2 linked regions of the Astyanax mexicanus genome follow. The protein of the gene in region 1 purifies or fractionates together with the protein of each later gene. This does not show direct contact. Links are inferred from orthologs where the notes say so. Each region holds a gene or a part of one and is shown on either strand. Other genes may lie near its edges.

Region 1 (7,485 bases):
TTCAATTACTTTAATGTAGCGCATCATGCAATTAAACAGGATTTTCTAAACTCCCTGTAATTAAATGTTCACTTGGTCACTTTTGGTCACTTGGTTCACTTTATCGATACGATAAAATTTATCATGGTTTATAACGTCCAGCTCTAGCTGGCACATGTAAACCGTGTACACGTGTTAAATTAAAACATGTAGTTTAGAAATTGGGCATTCATTCCTACCACTTTCTCCAGGATGACATCATTGGACTCAACGACCAGATCAAAGCGCTCCTCCAGTCCCGTCAATTTGTTTTTGTCATTTATGTGTGATCTGCAGCCGTGGTGCTTCATCAGCTGACTCATACTGAACAATGCAGAACATTATAAAACAAAATGAGACATCAAAGCAACTGAAAATCATGTAAAAGAGATGCACACATGCACGAATATTTAGGTTGAAGACCCCATATAATATTAGATTTATACCACTGACTGTATTGTCTACCGATCGATCAGTAGGCTGACTGGGACAATTCAGGTTCAGGAACCTCCGTCAGAAGGCTGCCATTACCGGCCCAGACTGTGTTTACCTTGTAAAAATTCAACCTTGTAACTGCTGAGATAACATGACCATGTGGTGCCTGTAAGGGAACCAAAAGATTTTGTCCATGGGTTCTATGTCGGTCAGTAATGAGCCCCACCAGGGACAGTGATGGGACCAGGAGGGGTTAAAGTTGGGCCCCATTTGGATATAACACTGCACGTAAATCCTAGATGGGACCAATGTGAGGTTAAAATAGGATGTAAGAATAGGGCCTATTTTTGAAGCCCAAATGGGTCCCAGAAAACATATGTACAAACCCACTCCGAACACATGTCCCCCTGTAACCTAAGGTCCAACCATGCAATGCCCACATTAGTGGTGGTCTTTTATGGTCTATTAAAAATGAAAATCTGGTTTATACAGCCTATACTGGTGTACTTATTGAAAATATCATCCCAGACAAGCTGAGCGAGGTTACCAGTGACACTTCTTTGGATTAATTATCATTAGTGAATAACAACAATGATAAATATGGTGATAAACTAAAACTAGCTGAAATGCCATTCCTGCTGCATCCAGCCTTGTAGTGTTAGCTGGATATTAGGGATATTACCGTATGTATAGCACAAATGATTACATCTGTGAACACTTCTGAAACTAGGCTTTAAAACCCACAGATCTTTTTATTTTTTACATTTCAGTTGACAGACCAAAACAACACAAACAGACTCTCCAACCAGTAAAGGTAAACTGCTCTCATCAAGAAATGTGTGCTTATAGCACTGCAGGTTTCACTGTTTTTAAAAATATCTGAATGTGTGAGAACAGGCCTGAACCAATACCTTGTCACTGGGGACTATTATTATTTGTCACAGAAAATTTTGCACATATCTGTTACATTTGTTTAATGATATTTGATTTCAAAAACAGGTTTTAGAGCCAAAATGCTCTCAGCACTGTGATGAAACTGTGTCTTAGGCACCATGCAGTGTATTTAGAACCATTTGGTGCAATACAATTATATGAGAGTTTTTACAAGTTCAGAAATATGTGCCTAGAACGGCATGCTTTACTTTTATTACATTTCCTCCTATTTAACCAAGAGGCCATACATATTTTATCTGTAAAAACAACAATCCTAAAGTCTAAGTCCTAGAATTAAACAGAAATAGTGTTCAAATAATTAAATAATCAGTATCATGTTAATAGTACTGCAGAAAGTGAACTGTATGACATTCTGCTGTTTTAAGTATTGACATTTTCACTTTCAAAATTGAATCTATTATTAACTACTATTATTAACATTCTGTTCTAGAAATCAGGTCAGAACCAGTTATATGGAATGTAAAACATTTAATTATAGCGTTTAAAATCGTTGAAATGTTTGGAACAGACCTGTAAACGCAGAAAATACACAAACTCCTTTAAAAGGATATCGCCAGCAATTTTATCTCCAGCACTTCTACTTTGTGTAAATAATGTGAGATGAACGAATAAACACAGATTCACACACTGTCTTGTAGTGATGCTTTCAGGATGTTCACTATATGTCACTTAGAAACTTCATGAGTTGATGTATCCAAATTTTTTATCTAGAGCTGTATTTGGGACTACAGTTTTTTAACTTCTAAAATGTAATTATAGATAAGGACATGTTGTTTTATTTGTAATATGACTAGTCAGAATGTGTTTACAGACCTGCAGTTAGATCTGATGTTACTAATAGTAAAGTTTTTTTTTTTCATAGCTAAGAGCAGAAACGAGAGCGTTTACTAGTATAAAACAGTGCTATATGTGATTTTTGGTTTGTAATACAGTCTATAGCTTGAGTCAATACTATGGCTTTAAGTCAGAATCAGCAATAACAATATTGACAGTAACGTAAGATTAAATAAATACATGTATTTAAGTGTTTAAAGCCCGTCTTCTCTCTCTCACCAGTGTAAGAGTCGCTCTCCCTGAACAGCACAGAAATCCTGAAACCCAGGAAAACTCCTGTAGAAGTCGAACTCGTCTCCGGGCTGAGGGAGACCCCCGGCCGCCTTGGTGGCGGAGACCACCGTGCCCAGTCCGTGCTGTAAAACACCGTTAGAGTTCATTAGAGAACAGGAGCCGCTAACCCGTCAGAGATTTAACAGCGCTAAGCTAACCGGCTAATGAAAACAGAACCACGAGTCCAGCGTTGCTGCTGCTGCAGGAGGAGCTCCACGCTGCCGCTGCGTGTTTATCTCACAGCGCGGAGACCCGCGGCTCTGCTCGTTAACCCCGGGGACCGGAGCGCCTTACTCACCTTCACAAACGCGTCCACATCTCTAAACCCCGGGCAGAACTCCCCGCTCTCCGCCCCCGGGGCTCCGCTGCCGGAGTCACCGCGGGCTCCAGAGCCGCTCTCTCCGCTCACGGGCGCAGCCATCACTACCCAGTACACCCCGCGAGAGCAGCGCGGAGCGGAGCACGCGCAGAGACCCGTCTTCTTCTCGGGAGTCTCAGAGAGACCGCGCGCTCTCTACCGCCACCTGCTGAACCGCACCGCGCTGCTCCCCTGACCCTTGATTAGTTAAAACACTACACATATTTTATATGTTTTTCTTTTTTTCTCCGATTAATAATCGATAGATATAAAAAAAAAGAATCGACACATCAATTATTAAAATGATCAGCAGTGGCCAACATGAAGCTTTAGAAGCATTAACTATAAACCCTCTTTTAGAAAATAGTTCAGTATTTTAATTTCATTTTACAAATGGGACAAAAATGACCCACTTTCATTTTCTATGTATCTTCATGTATGGCTGAGGGTTTCTATTATATATCTCAGCAATAAATGAATTAAGTCATTTAGAATTTAATGGTGTTCTTCTGCTAAAATCCACATTTCTTGTTCTTTGTGCAATACTGTAGGTCTCTCTGAGTTGTATATGATGCTGCACATGAAACTCTTCCTCAACCTCCATTGTCTGCAGTAGCTAGTAAAAGAAAATATTCAGAAAAACAAGTTGATCAGGAAAAGTACCGTGTCTACATCAATCAGTGAATTGGTATTCATGGCCTTGCCCACCTTGGCTCACGACCTCCCACAGGTAGTGCTGATGCTAGGCAGCAATGCAGTCTTATCAAATAGGAGCTAACAGTGCTAGGAACAGCATGGCAGTTTGTTCCTGTGTTATTTGTGCAAATAACACATCAGTGTTATATGCTTTACCCAGTAATTCAGAGCCAAGGAACAAATGGTTAGAATTTGTCTATAGAACACCACCAGCGAAGTACAATTGAGATAGCTAGGTGTATGTTTAAAACAGTTATGTAAACTAGTTAAAATAAAAATTAAAAAATTGTTTTACTTTCTGGACCTGAACTACCCATCTCTGTGTGTAAATATAGGATTTACATAGGATCTCCGGTGGATTTCCCGTTATACAGAGATTCTAAGACTAGGTCAGTGGCTAATCTGCACTTAGCAGAGAATTACACATGTTGTAAAGTAGCATATGACATTGCAAAGACTGTTATTAGTTTTTAAAAAAAATCTTTATTTTAAAACATTTCTAACTGTTGTCTGTCTTGCGGCCAGGTGAATACTAGCCAGCCAGGTTGGATGGAGAGCGTCTGTGAACAGCAATTTTCATGTCTTGCCACAGAAGCTCAGTGGTATTAAGGTGAGGACTTTAACTGGCTTATTCCAACACATCAATATTCTTTCATTTAAATATTCCAATGGAGCTATGGCTGTATGTTTAGAATCACTATCTTGAATCTTCTTCCCAGCCTCAAATCTTTTACAGCCTCCTCCAGGTTTTCTTCCAGGACTGCCCTGTATTTAGCCCCAGCTGATGCTGCCACCACGTTTCACTTTGGGGATGGTGTGTTCAGAATGATGAGCAGTGTTACTTTTCTGCCACACAAATCACTTTATATTTAGGCCAAAAAAGTTGAACTTTTGTCTCACCTGACAACAGAACCTTCTTCCACACGTTTGCTGTTTAGACAGCACTTTTTATGTCTTTCTTTCAGCAGTGGCTTTCTTCTTGCCACTCTTCAATAAAGGCCAGATTTGTGGAGTGCACGACTTACAGTTGTCCCGTCGACAGATTCTTCCACCTCAGCTGTGTGTGTATATATATATATATATATATATATATATATATATATATATATATATATATATTACAATTCCTTTTTACAACGCTTAAAATAAAAGTTGGCACCAAAAATACTGAGCGATTTTGAAGTGTTACTTTGTTTATTTAAAAATGTCTGCGCATTAGTGGGAACAGCTCAGGACTGCAGGAAGAACAGTCTTATAACTGTACCCTCTTCTTTTGCAGCCAAGCCTTTGTAATGGGTACAGCTTGTCATTATGCTGAAAAGTGTACAGATGCATCTGGGGAAATAATCATTTCGAAGGCAGTTCTATGATCTCAATGGATTTTTCTTTGGAAAGATATGAAGAACTTTCAGGTGACCTTTTAAGGATATTTACTTTTTTAAAAGAGCATGGCAACAAAGTTTCCATTTGCATTCATTATTTAAAAATTATATCATGGTCCAACCAGCAGTAAAACTTACTTCACAAATAACCAATTTTCTTTTAAATTAATATGGGTAGTGGGCATCTGTTCACTTTAAATGTATTGTTAGACTCCTTTTATTCTTGATAAACATTTAAAAGGGACATACTATGCAAAACTCACTTTTTGCATGCTTAAGCATTTCCACTTAAGTCTTGACTACCCATATAAACACTCCATATGAAACTCCATTTCTTTTTTATTTTGGTTGAGAAACTCAGACAATAGGATTAGTCAGTAGACTTCGACTGAGGGAGGGATCTGTTCCTGCTGTCTGTGACCAGTCACCTGAGGAGGGAGATGTAAGCACTTTCAAATAATGAGTTTTGTGCTCATATCAAAGTTAAGCATGAACTAGCTTGCTCATGTTTTGCCGTTTAGATTAGCACAATGTAACACTAACAAACACGTTTTGTATAGCACATACACTTCACATAAATTCTAACTTGTGTAAAAATAGATACAACATGTCTTTTAAATATAGAAAGTCTGATGATGCCTAATTCCTTTGTTATTCATGTGACTGGTTACTTTTTTTCTCTGACTGGTTATTTACACTTTTTCACTTATTTTATTAATGCATGGTTATTATTATGTTATTTATATGATTTTACATGGACTATTTTTTAATTCACAGGATTTTTGTGCATGCATATGTAGACCTGCTCCCACGTACAATAATTCTATCCTGTGCTGCACAATGTAAAGAGACCCACCAGTTCCAAGTTGAAGAAATTACTGCATACATGAAATCAAACAATGGACACATAAAGAGCTCAAACTCTTTTGAAATCCACTCATAACAGAAATATGACACCCCAGAAAACTCACATCAGGATATTATAAGCACACAGTTACTTACAGTCACATACAAGGCAAAACAACATTCATCACAAGAGGTGTTCAAAAAAGCAACAAAAACAGGCTTTTCTAAAATTTATTGGCAAAGATGTACACCACCTTCAATCAAGTATTCTGCTCCACTTTGTGCAGAATTCTATGTATAACATTATTAAATTAATAAAAGTCAGACATACTTTAAAATGTCTTTTCATGCAACAGATCTCTTTTCTTAAGCGTATTCAGCGGACTCAAACATGGCAGCGGTAGAACATAGAGAATCAGCAAAGAACAAAGACAGCAAAACAAAGCTTGAGTGAAGCTCTACCAAAACGGACACCTGAGGAAAGAAAAAAGAAGAAACAATTATTATTGATAAAATTAATTCATTATTAATCACTGAGTGACCCATATAAATAGTACATAAGTACATAATTACATACATCATTTACTCAGGTTAAATTGGACAAATGTCCTTCTAAAACGTGTTTTTGAGGATGGACAACTACATACCATCCAATGTAACATTGGCACAGGTTCTCGTGTGATGTGGCTTGCTTGATCAGCAGCTCCACTTGGGTTGGGACATCCAGTGTCTCATCATGGGAGAAGTCCCGTCCTAGAATGAGAAATAACAAGAGGTCCAGTGTGACTGAGGTGAAGCAGCATTCTGAGGGTTTACAGCGCTCCCTGGTGGGGAAGCTTGTGAAGTTGGTGAGTGTTTCAGACAGTATCTGAATGAGTGTAGTAATAATTAAGGGTGTCAATCGATTAAGAAATTGAATCTGATTAATCACAACAAAATTCTGTGATTAAATACGAATAATCACATTTGTTTTTCTTCAGACGTACATTTTTATAGTGGATAATTAAATGTAAATAAAACGCAATTACTGTATATTAGTGGTGTCAATTAAAATAATAGTATATACTTGTATGTTTGAGGGGGGATTAAAATCAACGTAGGGTGCTGGAATAAAGAATGCATGATAAATTGGATTCTAAAATTGGTTGTGAGGATTTCTGAGTTCTAACTTGATGCTTCTAATTTGATGAGGATAAAAATCTAAGGGATGAGGAGCAGGAGGGCAGGAAAGCACCTGTCTGTGTGTGTGTTCATGTGTGTGTGTGCAGAGAGAGAAAGAGAGAGATCTCTAACCGGGTCGGAGCTGGAAGTCTGAACTGGAGTGTTACTGCTGGACACCGTAAGAGCACGCCTTTCAATCATTTAGCCAGAAAACTAATCAGTGCGTTGGGCGGGGGCGGGGCAGATTACAGCAGAAGTAGGGGTCAAACTTGGTGCCTTTATTAACTTGCCTTAAAAAAATAGTAACGCGTTACTGATTCCAAGTTAACGCTTTAATGTTGACCGCCCTAGTAATAATCCATTTGTGAGAGAGAAAAAATGGTTGTTTATATAGTGAATAAATAATGTTCATACAGGTTCTATTTATACTGGTACTGTCATTCTCTCCCATCACTATTGTCTTGTGTCTCTTGTGTAACGTATGTCTTTATTTGACCTTGTTCTATTTTAAATTTAGTGTCTCCCATT
Region 2 (7,437 bases), on another chromosome or scaffold:
ACATTTCACTAAATAATAAACGACCAACTGGTTTCCTGCTTTAGGGCTTTTTCACACCAGAATTATAACGACTTGATCGTATCTCAAAATAACAAACTTACTCTCAAAATAATTATTTACTATATTAAAATAACAACTTACTATCTCATAATAATGACTTACTATCTCAAATAAATTACCTACTATCTTAAGACAAAGAGATAGTATCTCAAAATAACAAATTTACTATGTTAAAATATAAACCTACTGTTTAAAAATAACTTGCTATCTCAAAATAACGACGTACTTTCTTAAAATAATGAGAAAGTATCTAAAAATAACTCTCAAAATGACGTACTATCTCAAAATAATTACCTACTATCTCAAAATAACGAGACATTATCTCAAAATAACGACTTAATATCCTAAAATAATGACTTACTATATCTCAAAATAATTATTTACTATGCCTTACTTACTATCCCAAAATAATTATTTATTTCAAAATAATGATTTATCTCAAAATAATGACTTACTGTCTCAAAATGACTTACTATATTACTATATACAGGTGCTGGTCAACGAATTAGAATAATTTGAAATAGTGCAATCATGAAATTCTTTGAATGCATTTTTTGTGCAGAAAGCAAATCAGGTGTTCACTGCACCTGTCCTACTCGCTAGACTAATCACAGAACTCGTTACCTGGAAAAAAATTTGCTCAGCTGAGCTTTCCAAAAGGCCCATTTAGGCCATTTAACTGTGACACTGTTGTTTTATTGAATTAGAATAATGGAGAAACCGTTTCATTGAATTAGAATAATTTTTATTATAATTACAATCATCACTTTCTCAGTATTTTGTGGCTGCCCCCTTGGCTTGTATGACTGCCTGAAGTCTCCGCGGCATCGATTTGACCAGCTTGTCGCAAGTTTCCGCACTCACAGCTTCCCAGGCAGTGGCGATGTTCTGCTTCAGTTGGTCCAGCGTAGTAGGCTTTCTGTCGCGAATTTTCCGCTTGACGATGGCCCAAAGGTTTTCAATGACATTGAGGTCAGGCGAGTTGGCCGGCCATGCCAAAACTTCAAGCTGTTTTTTAGTGAACCAATCTTTGGTCGACTTTGCCGCATGAGCCGGTGCAAGATCCTGTTGAAATATGAAGTCTTCTTCGCCGAACTGTTCCTCAACAGTCGGAATCAGGAACGTTTCCAGAACATCTTGATATACGGCAGCATTGACAGTCTTCTTGAGGAAGCAGAGTTTCCCTACACCTCGAGCGGACATGCATCCCCAGACCATAACGCTCTGGGGAAACTTGACGGATCTTTTCACGCACTCGTGGTTGTAGGTTTTGCCACCACGACGCCAGACACGAGGACCTTGGTCACCGAAGGAGATGCAGAAGCGTGATTCGTCACTGAAGACCACTTTCTGCCAGTCTTCAGCAGTCCACTCGCCGTGTTCTTTGGCCCACTTCAGCTGTTTCTCCATTTGTTTCTTGTTCAGCATCGGTTTTACTGCTGGAACGCGAGATTTGAAGCCGAGTTCGCGCAGACGACGGTAAGTGGTTGATCTGGAGACGTCAGCGCCGGTCTGCTTGTTCCACAAGTCGGTGAGCTCGGAAGTGGACTTGAACCGGTTGCTGACTGCGATCTTTCTCAGCTGCTTGTTGTCGAGAGCAGAAGTTTTTCGGACGCCGGAACAGTTGGTGCGCTTGCTGCAGTTTTTCTTGAGAGCTTTGCAGACGGAAGACTGGCTGATGCCGAGCTGCTCAGCAATTTTAGTTTGGGTCAAGCCTTGTTGGCGAAGGGCTTGAATTTGAGCCACTATTCCGGTTGAGAGGTCGCGCTGCTTACCCATGATTGATTTTACAACTTAGAAATTCTACTCAACCCTGACTTTATACTGCACAGTGAACACTCTTCACAGAAAACAAAAATTCGAGCATTTATTCTAATTCAATGAAACGGTTTCTCCATTATTCTAATTCAATAAAACAACAGTGTCACAGTTAAATGGCCTAAATGGGCCTTTTGGAAAGCTCAGCTGAGCAATTTTTTTTCCAGGTAACGAGTTCTGTGATTAGTCTAACGAGTAGGACAGGTGCGGTGAACACCTGATTTGCTTTCTGCACAAAAAATGCATTCAAAGAATTTCATGATTGCACTATTTCAAATTATTCTAATTCGTTGACCAGCACCTGTATACCATATATATATAGTATACCAAAAAATACTTACTCTCAAAATAATAACTAACAATTTAAAAATAATAATATAGAAGTTAGACAGAAAAAAAAATCAAATAATATATATATATATATATATATATATATATATGTATATATATATACATATATATATATATATATATATATATATATACATATATATATATATATATATATATATATATGTATATATATATATACATATATATATACATATATATCCCGCCTTGAAGCGTGTTATATTCCACACCCCCGGAGCGGACCAATCAGAGCGAAGGAAACGGCGCAGCGCCGTGAAGGTTATGCGCATGCGCGGTGGCTAGGTTCTCGCAGCCAAAACAAATAGACCGGTTTCAGTAAAAAAATATATAATATAATATAATAACTTCATATTAACCTCAAAATCAGCAGCATAAACCAGTTATTAATAACTAAACTTATTAACAACAGCTGAATATGCGGTTTATTAACGCTTCACACAACCATACACACTATTAAATATATAAGTTACATTAAAACATATATATTAAATATTAAAATAAAGTTATATAGAACCACAGCGTTACAGAGTCTGTGGACAGCTGTATTTATCTATCTATACTGTAGCTTATATGCTTGTATTATATGTGTGTTTTAAACAATATAAGCCAGTGTTGTTTTTTTAGTCCAGGTGAGCAGCTGGTTTACCTGTATCAGATTCACCTGTATAATAATATTGCATCTGATAATAACCCCTCACGTGCTGCTATATATCTTTATTACAGTATAAAGCTCTAGCTGAGGGTTATATATTAAATATATATCTGCAGGTGGGCATTACATGCTACTGTTTAAGCTGCAGCTCAGATCAGACCCACAGGAACACCTGTACAGGTGAGCAGCGCGCGCTGTGCGGGTGAGCAGGTGAGGTTACCTGGGTGCGGAAGGCTCTCCGCTGCAGGGCTCTGACCGAGTTTAATGCTGAATTTTGGCGAAACGCGTGAAAACCGAGTCCGACCCATTTCTGCAGCCTCCGCACCGCCGCCATGTTTCAGCCTTACTGTCCTCCCGCACCGCGCTCACAGCGCCTCCTGCTGCAGCGGCGGAGACACCGCACTGTATATACACTATGAATATAACTGAGAAATTACTGATTATATATACACACAATTACAAAATCAGCATTTTAATACAACTAATATTTCACTTTCAATATTTCTTCACATCTCTTATAAATTCATTAATTCCCTAAGAAATAACACACTTAAAAAACAACAAAAAAGAATATATATATAGTAAATTATGTAGCTAAATTAAAAAAAGATAAAATTGCTAATTAATAATTAAAATGAGAAAACAATATTGTTTATGATAATAATGTAACTAATGTTTCATTTATTAATAATAATAATAATAATAATAATAATAATAATAATAATAATCATCATCATCATAATCATAATAATAATCATAATCATAATCATAATAATTGTTATTATTATTATTGTTATTATTATTATTATTAATTATTATAATTAAAAAACAACAACAAAATGCAAGAAAAATGTGTAATAGCGGAAGCATGTAAAAAGTTATATGTGACGGTGTATAAATAACTAAACAGTTTCTATTAAAACTTTTATTATTAAACTATTATTATTATTATTATTATTATTATTATTATTTATTTATTTATAATAAAGGTTAAAGCTGCAAATAAAAAAATGACATCAGCATATAATAAAATAAATTAGGAAACATGGGAAAACCAAATACAAGAAAAATGTATAACAGAGGAAGCATGTACATAAGATTGTAAAAAAAACGGTGTCCTTTAATTAAATTAAGAATTATTTTAAATTACTTTATTAATAAAATATAAATAGCATGGTTAAATAATGAATAAATGACCGCCTTCTGTTTTATTTAACTTACATTTATATATTTGTTCCTTGGAAAAATACTATATTAGAGTATTATAGTATTTTTAAGAAAATAATTCAATTACAAAACACTATTGCAAATCAAATCAATCCTCTTTCTTATTTAAACGAAAATTCGTTGTAAATAAAATGCCTAATAAAATACAGAATATTTTAGCTTAACTAGTGTAAACTGATTTACTGTTTTTACCGGTAGATTAAGGACTTTTATCTTATTAAAGCGTCATCAGAGTGCGCGGTAAACAGTGACGCTGTGAGCGGGCGACGGGCCGGCGTGCTGCAGTATCGCGGGGTGCAGGGTTCGGCAGTGATGGATCAGATAGAGACGGGTTCGGGTTCGGTTCTGAGGGAATACGGGAGCGAACAGAACCTGCTGTCCAAACCGGACGGATCAGCGACCTTCCTACAGGGTATTTATCTATATACTGTCTCTGTTCTATTGGGTTCTATGGGGTTCTAAATGGGTTCCTCTGGGTTGTGCACTTGTTTACAAGACTCTATATTGACTATATAGGGCTCCACAGAACTCTACCCTGTTCTGTAGGTATCTACAGAGTTTCTATATGGCTATATAGGGTTATATAGTGCTCCAAAGGACTCTAGTGTTCTATAGGCCTGCACATGACTCTACAGTGTTCTGCACGATTTCTATAGGGCACTGCCGAGCTCTACGAGTTCTATAGGGTCCACATGACAATATATCAATTAGTCATTTAGGCAATCAACCGTTATTTTCACTCAGAAGTACATTAAGGGCAACCCTCATTTTCAATGTAGCATTCACAAATACAGGGATTAACATGATGATAAATTAAATAATAACTACATTTAATAATCTTAAAATAACAGTTAATAAAAGAGAGGGTTTCTGTAGGGCACTACAGAGCTCTATAGGGTTTCTATAGGCCTCCACAGGACTCTACAGTGTTTTGAACGTCTCTACAGAACTTGGGTCTATATGGCACTGCAGAGTTCTATATTGGTTAAATACGGCTCTACAAAGCTCTATATGGTTTTTATAGACAACCACAGAGCTCTACAGGGGTTCCATATGAATCTACAGGGTTTCTATAGGGCACTACAAAGCTCTATTTGGTTTCTATAGGGCACTACAGAACTCTACAGGGCATCCATAGGGATTTAGAAGGTTTCTATTGGACATTACAGAACTCTATAAGGGGCTCTACTCTGCAGGTTTCTGGAGGATTTTTCTGGGTTCTGTATTGATCTTGTGTTTGTGTGTGTGTGTGTGTGTGTGTTTCTGTAATGGTATATGTGTTTACAGGGGACACCAGTGTGTTGGCAGGAGTTTATGGACCTGCTGAAGTGAAAGTGAATAAGGAGATCTATGACAGAGCGACTCTGGAGGTGGTTGTCCAGCCTAAAGTGGGCATGTCAAGTAAGTAGCTCTGTGTTCAGAGATACTAAATAAAAAAATAATTTATTAATTAATAATACACTATATTGCCAAAATGCACAACATAATTGTACTCACAACTAGTTATTTATTTGATGTAAAATGGACCTTCTAAAATGTTCTGTGCATTATATAATATTTAGTCAATGCGCAGAGCCGTCATCATTAAGCATTAAAAAATGGAATAGTTATAATATAATATATAATATAATAAACTTTGCTTGTATATCATCAAAAAAAAACGCAGCTCAAAATGCTTCAATAAAATTAAGTAAAACAGAAAACTGTAAAACGTAAAAAATTTAATAAACAGTTTTTGTCATTTTAGTTCACATTAATATATTGTGCACACTCCTGTTTTGGAATTTTATTGTATAACTAAGTGCAAAACATACCTGATGTCTGAAAAACTGAGCACAATAATGCAGCATGAGTCTACTAGTAGGTTAAAGTAATATTTATTGTTAGAGCCCTATTTAATTAATGTAATTCTCATTACAATACAGTGAACATATTAATTTATTTATAACACTAATCATGCTTTAATATTCCTCTAGATTAAAAGCCTGTTGTTGGTTGCGTTACCCCCTCTCACCACAGGGTGGTAGTCATGTAATAGTGAAAATCTGTGCGTGTGATGAACGTTCACTAATCCGGTTCTGTAACCCGGTTCTGTAGGTGTGCGGGAGCGTGCGAGGGAGCAGTGTGTGAGGGAAACGTGTGAGGCTGTCCTGCTGTCCACTCTTCATCCTCGGTCCTCCCTCGCACTCATCCTCCAGGTGGTGCACGACGACGGCTCTGTATCCTTTATAAATCCACACCTGTTTATAACTAGTAACGAGTCTTTCTCATCTCTGGAGGAATTTAGTTCCACTCTTCTTTACAGAATTACAGTTTTAATTCAGACACATTGGAGGATTTTCCAGCATAAACGTCTAAAACTGTTTAAGATCATCCACAGCATCTCAATCAGACTTTAACTAGACCCTCCTAAACCTTCATTTAGTTTTTATTTATTTTTAATCCATTCAGAGGTGAACTTTTTGTTTGTGTGCTTTGGGTCATTGTCCTGCTGCAGAACCCAAGTACTCCTGAGCTTGAGGTCAGTAAGGAACAGATGGACGGATTCTGATTCTCCTTCAGGATTTTCTGGTAAAAACAGCAGAACTCCTGCTTCCATCTATTACAGCAAGTTAAAGTCCGGCAGCTCCAGACCATCATAACGCACACACTACCACCACCATGTTTTACATTTTACGTTCAGTGAGAGCAATGTTCTTTTATTGCTGAAATTATGTGTTTATTATAGTTTTATGCCAGATGTAACGGGACACACACCTTCCAAAAAGTTCCACTTTTGTCTCTTCAGTCAAAATATAATATTTACCCATAATTTTAAAAAGGAAAAAACAATTTTTCCTAAAGAGCATCATGATGTTAATTGATAAATGTTGTTCTGGGTTCTTTTGGGATCTCATGGATGAGTTGTTCATGCCCTTTTGGAGTAATTTTGTTCGGTCGGCCGGTCACTCCTGGGAAGGTTCACCAGTTTTCCATGTTTTTTCTAGGGGTGTGACGAGATCTCGTCAAGCTTAAACCTGTCTCGCAGGGGGAAAAAAACAGTAGTTTAAAAGCTCCGCGGTACAGTTAAAAAGCTCAGTTAAAAAGCTCAGCTCAGTTTAAAAAAGCTCCGCGGTACAGTTAAAAAGCTCCGCAGTACAGTTAAAAAGCTCAGTTAAAAAGCTCAGCTCAGTTTAAAAAAGCTCCGCGGTACAGTTAAAAAGCTCCGCAGTACAGTTAAAAAGCTCCGCGGTACAGTTTAAAAAGCTCAGTGGTACAGTTTAAAAAGCTCAGTGGTACAGTTTAAAAGCTCCGCGGTACAGGTAAAA

Evidence for each region. Proteins that work in one complex are often made in the same cells at the same time.
Region 2: the proteins of exosc10 (region 1) and exosc5 purify together in Homo sapiens (co-immunoprecipitation; 8 studies listed by BioGRID and IntAct, with this or other methods). This does not show direct contact. The link is inferred for Astyanax mexicanus from reciprocal best matches to the Homo sapiens genes EXOSC10 and EXOSC5.

What each region holds. Positions count from the first base shown.
Region 1 is NC_064419.1:17,930,457-17,937,941, reverse strand, and holds the start of exosc10 (exosome component 10), read right to left. Parts: upstream 3,001-7,485; 5' UTR 2,936-3,000; coding exon 2,813-2,935; intron 2,598-2,812; coding exon 2,461-2,597; intron 343-2,460; coding exon 219-342; intron 1-218. Other genes in the region: serine/threonine-protein kinase mTOR, read right to left, coding at 6,255-6,270, 6,444-6,549. UniProt on the Homo sapiens protein: Catalytic component of the RNA exosome complex which has 3'->5' exoribonuclease activity and participates in a multitude of cellular RNA processing and degradation events.
Region 2 is NC_064416.1:2,328,435-2,335,871, reverse strand, and holds the start of exosc5 (exosome complex component RRP46), read left to right. Parts: upstream 1-4,361; 5' UTR 4,362-4,441; coding exon 4,442-4,541; intron 4,542-5,416; coding exon 5,417-5,530; intron 5,531-6,226; coding exon 6,227-6,348; intron 6,349-7,339; exon of another isoform or gene 7,340-7,437. Other genes in the region: bckdha (2-oxoisovalerate dehydrogenase subunit alpha, mitochondrial), read right to left, coding at 3,123-3,236. UniProt on the Homo sapiens protein: Non-catalytic component of the RNA exosome complex which has 3'->5' exoribonuclease activity and participates in a multitude of cellular RNA processing and degradation events.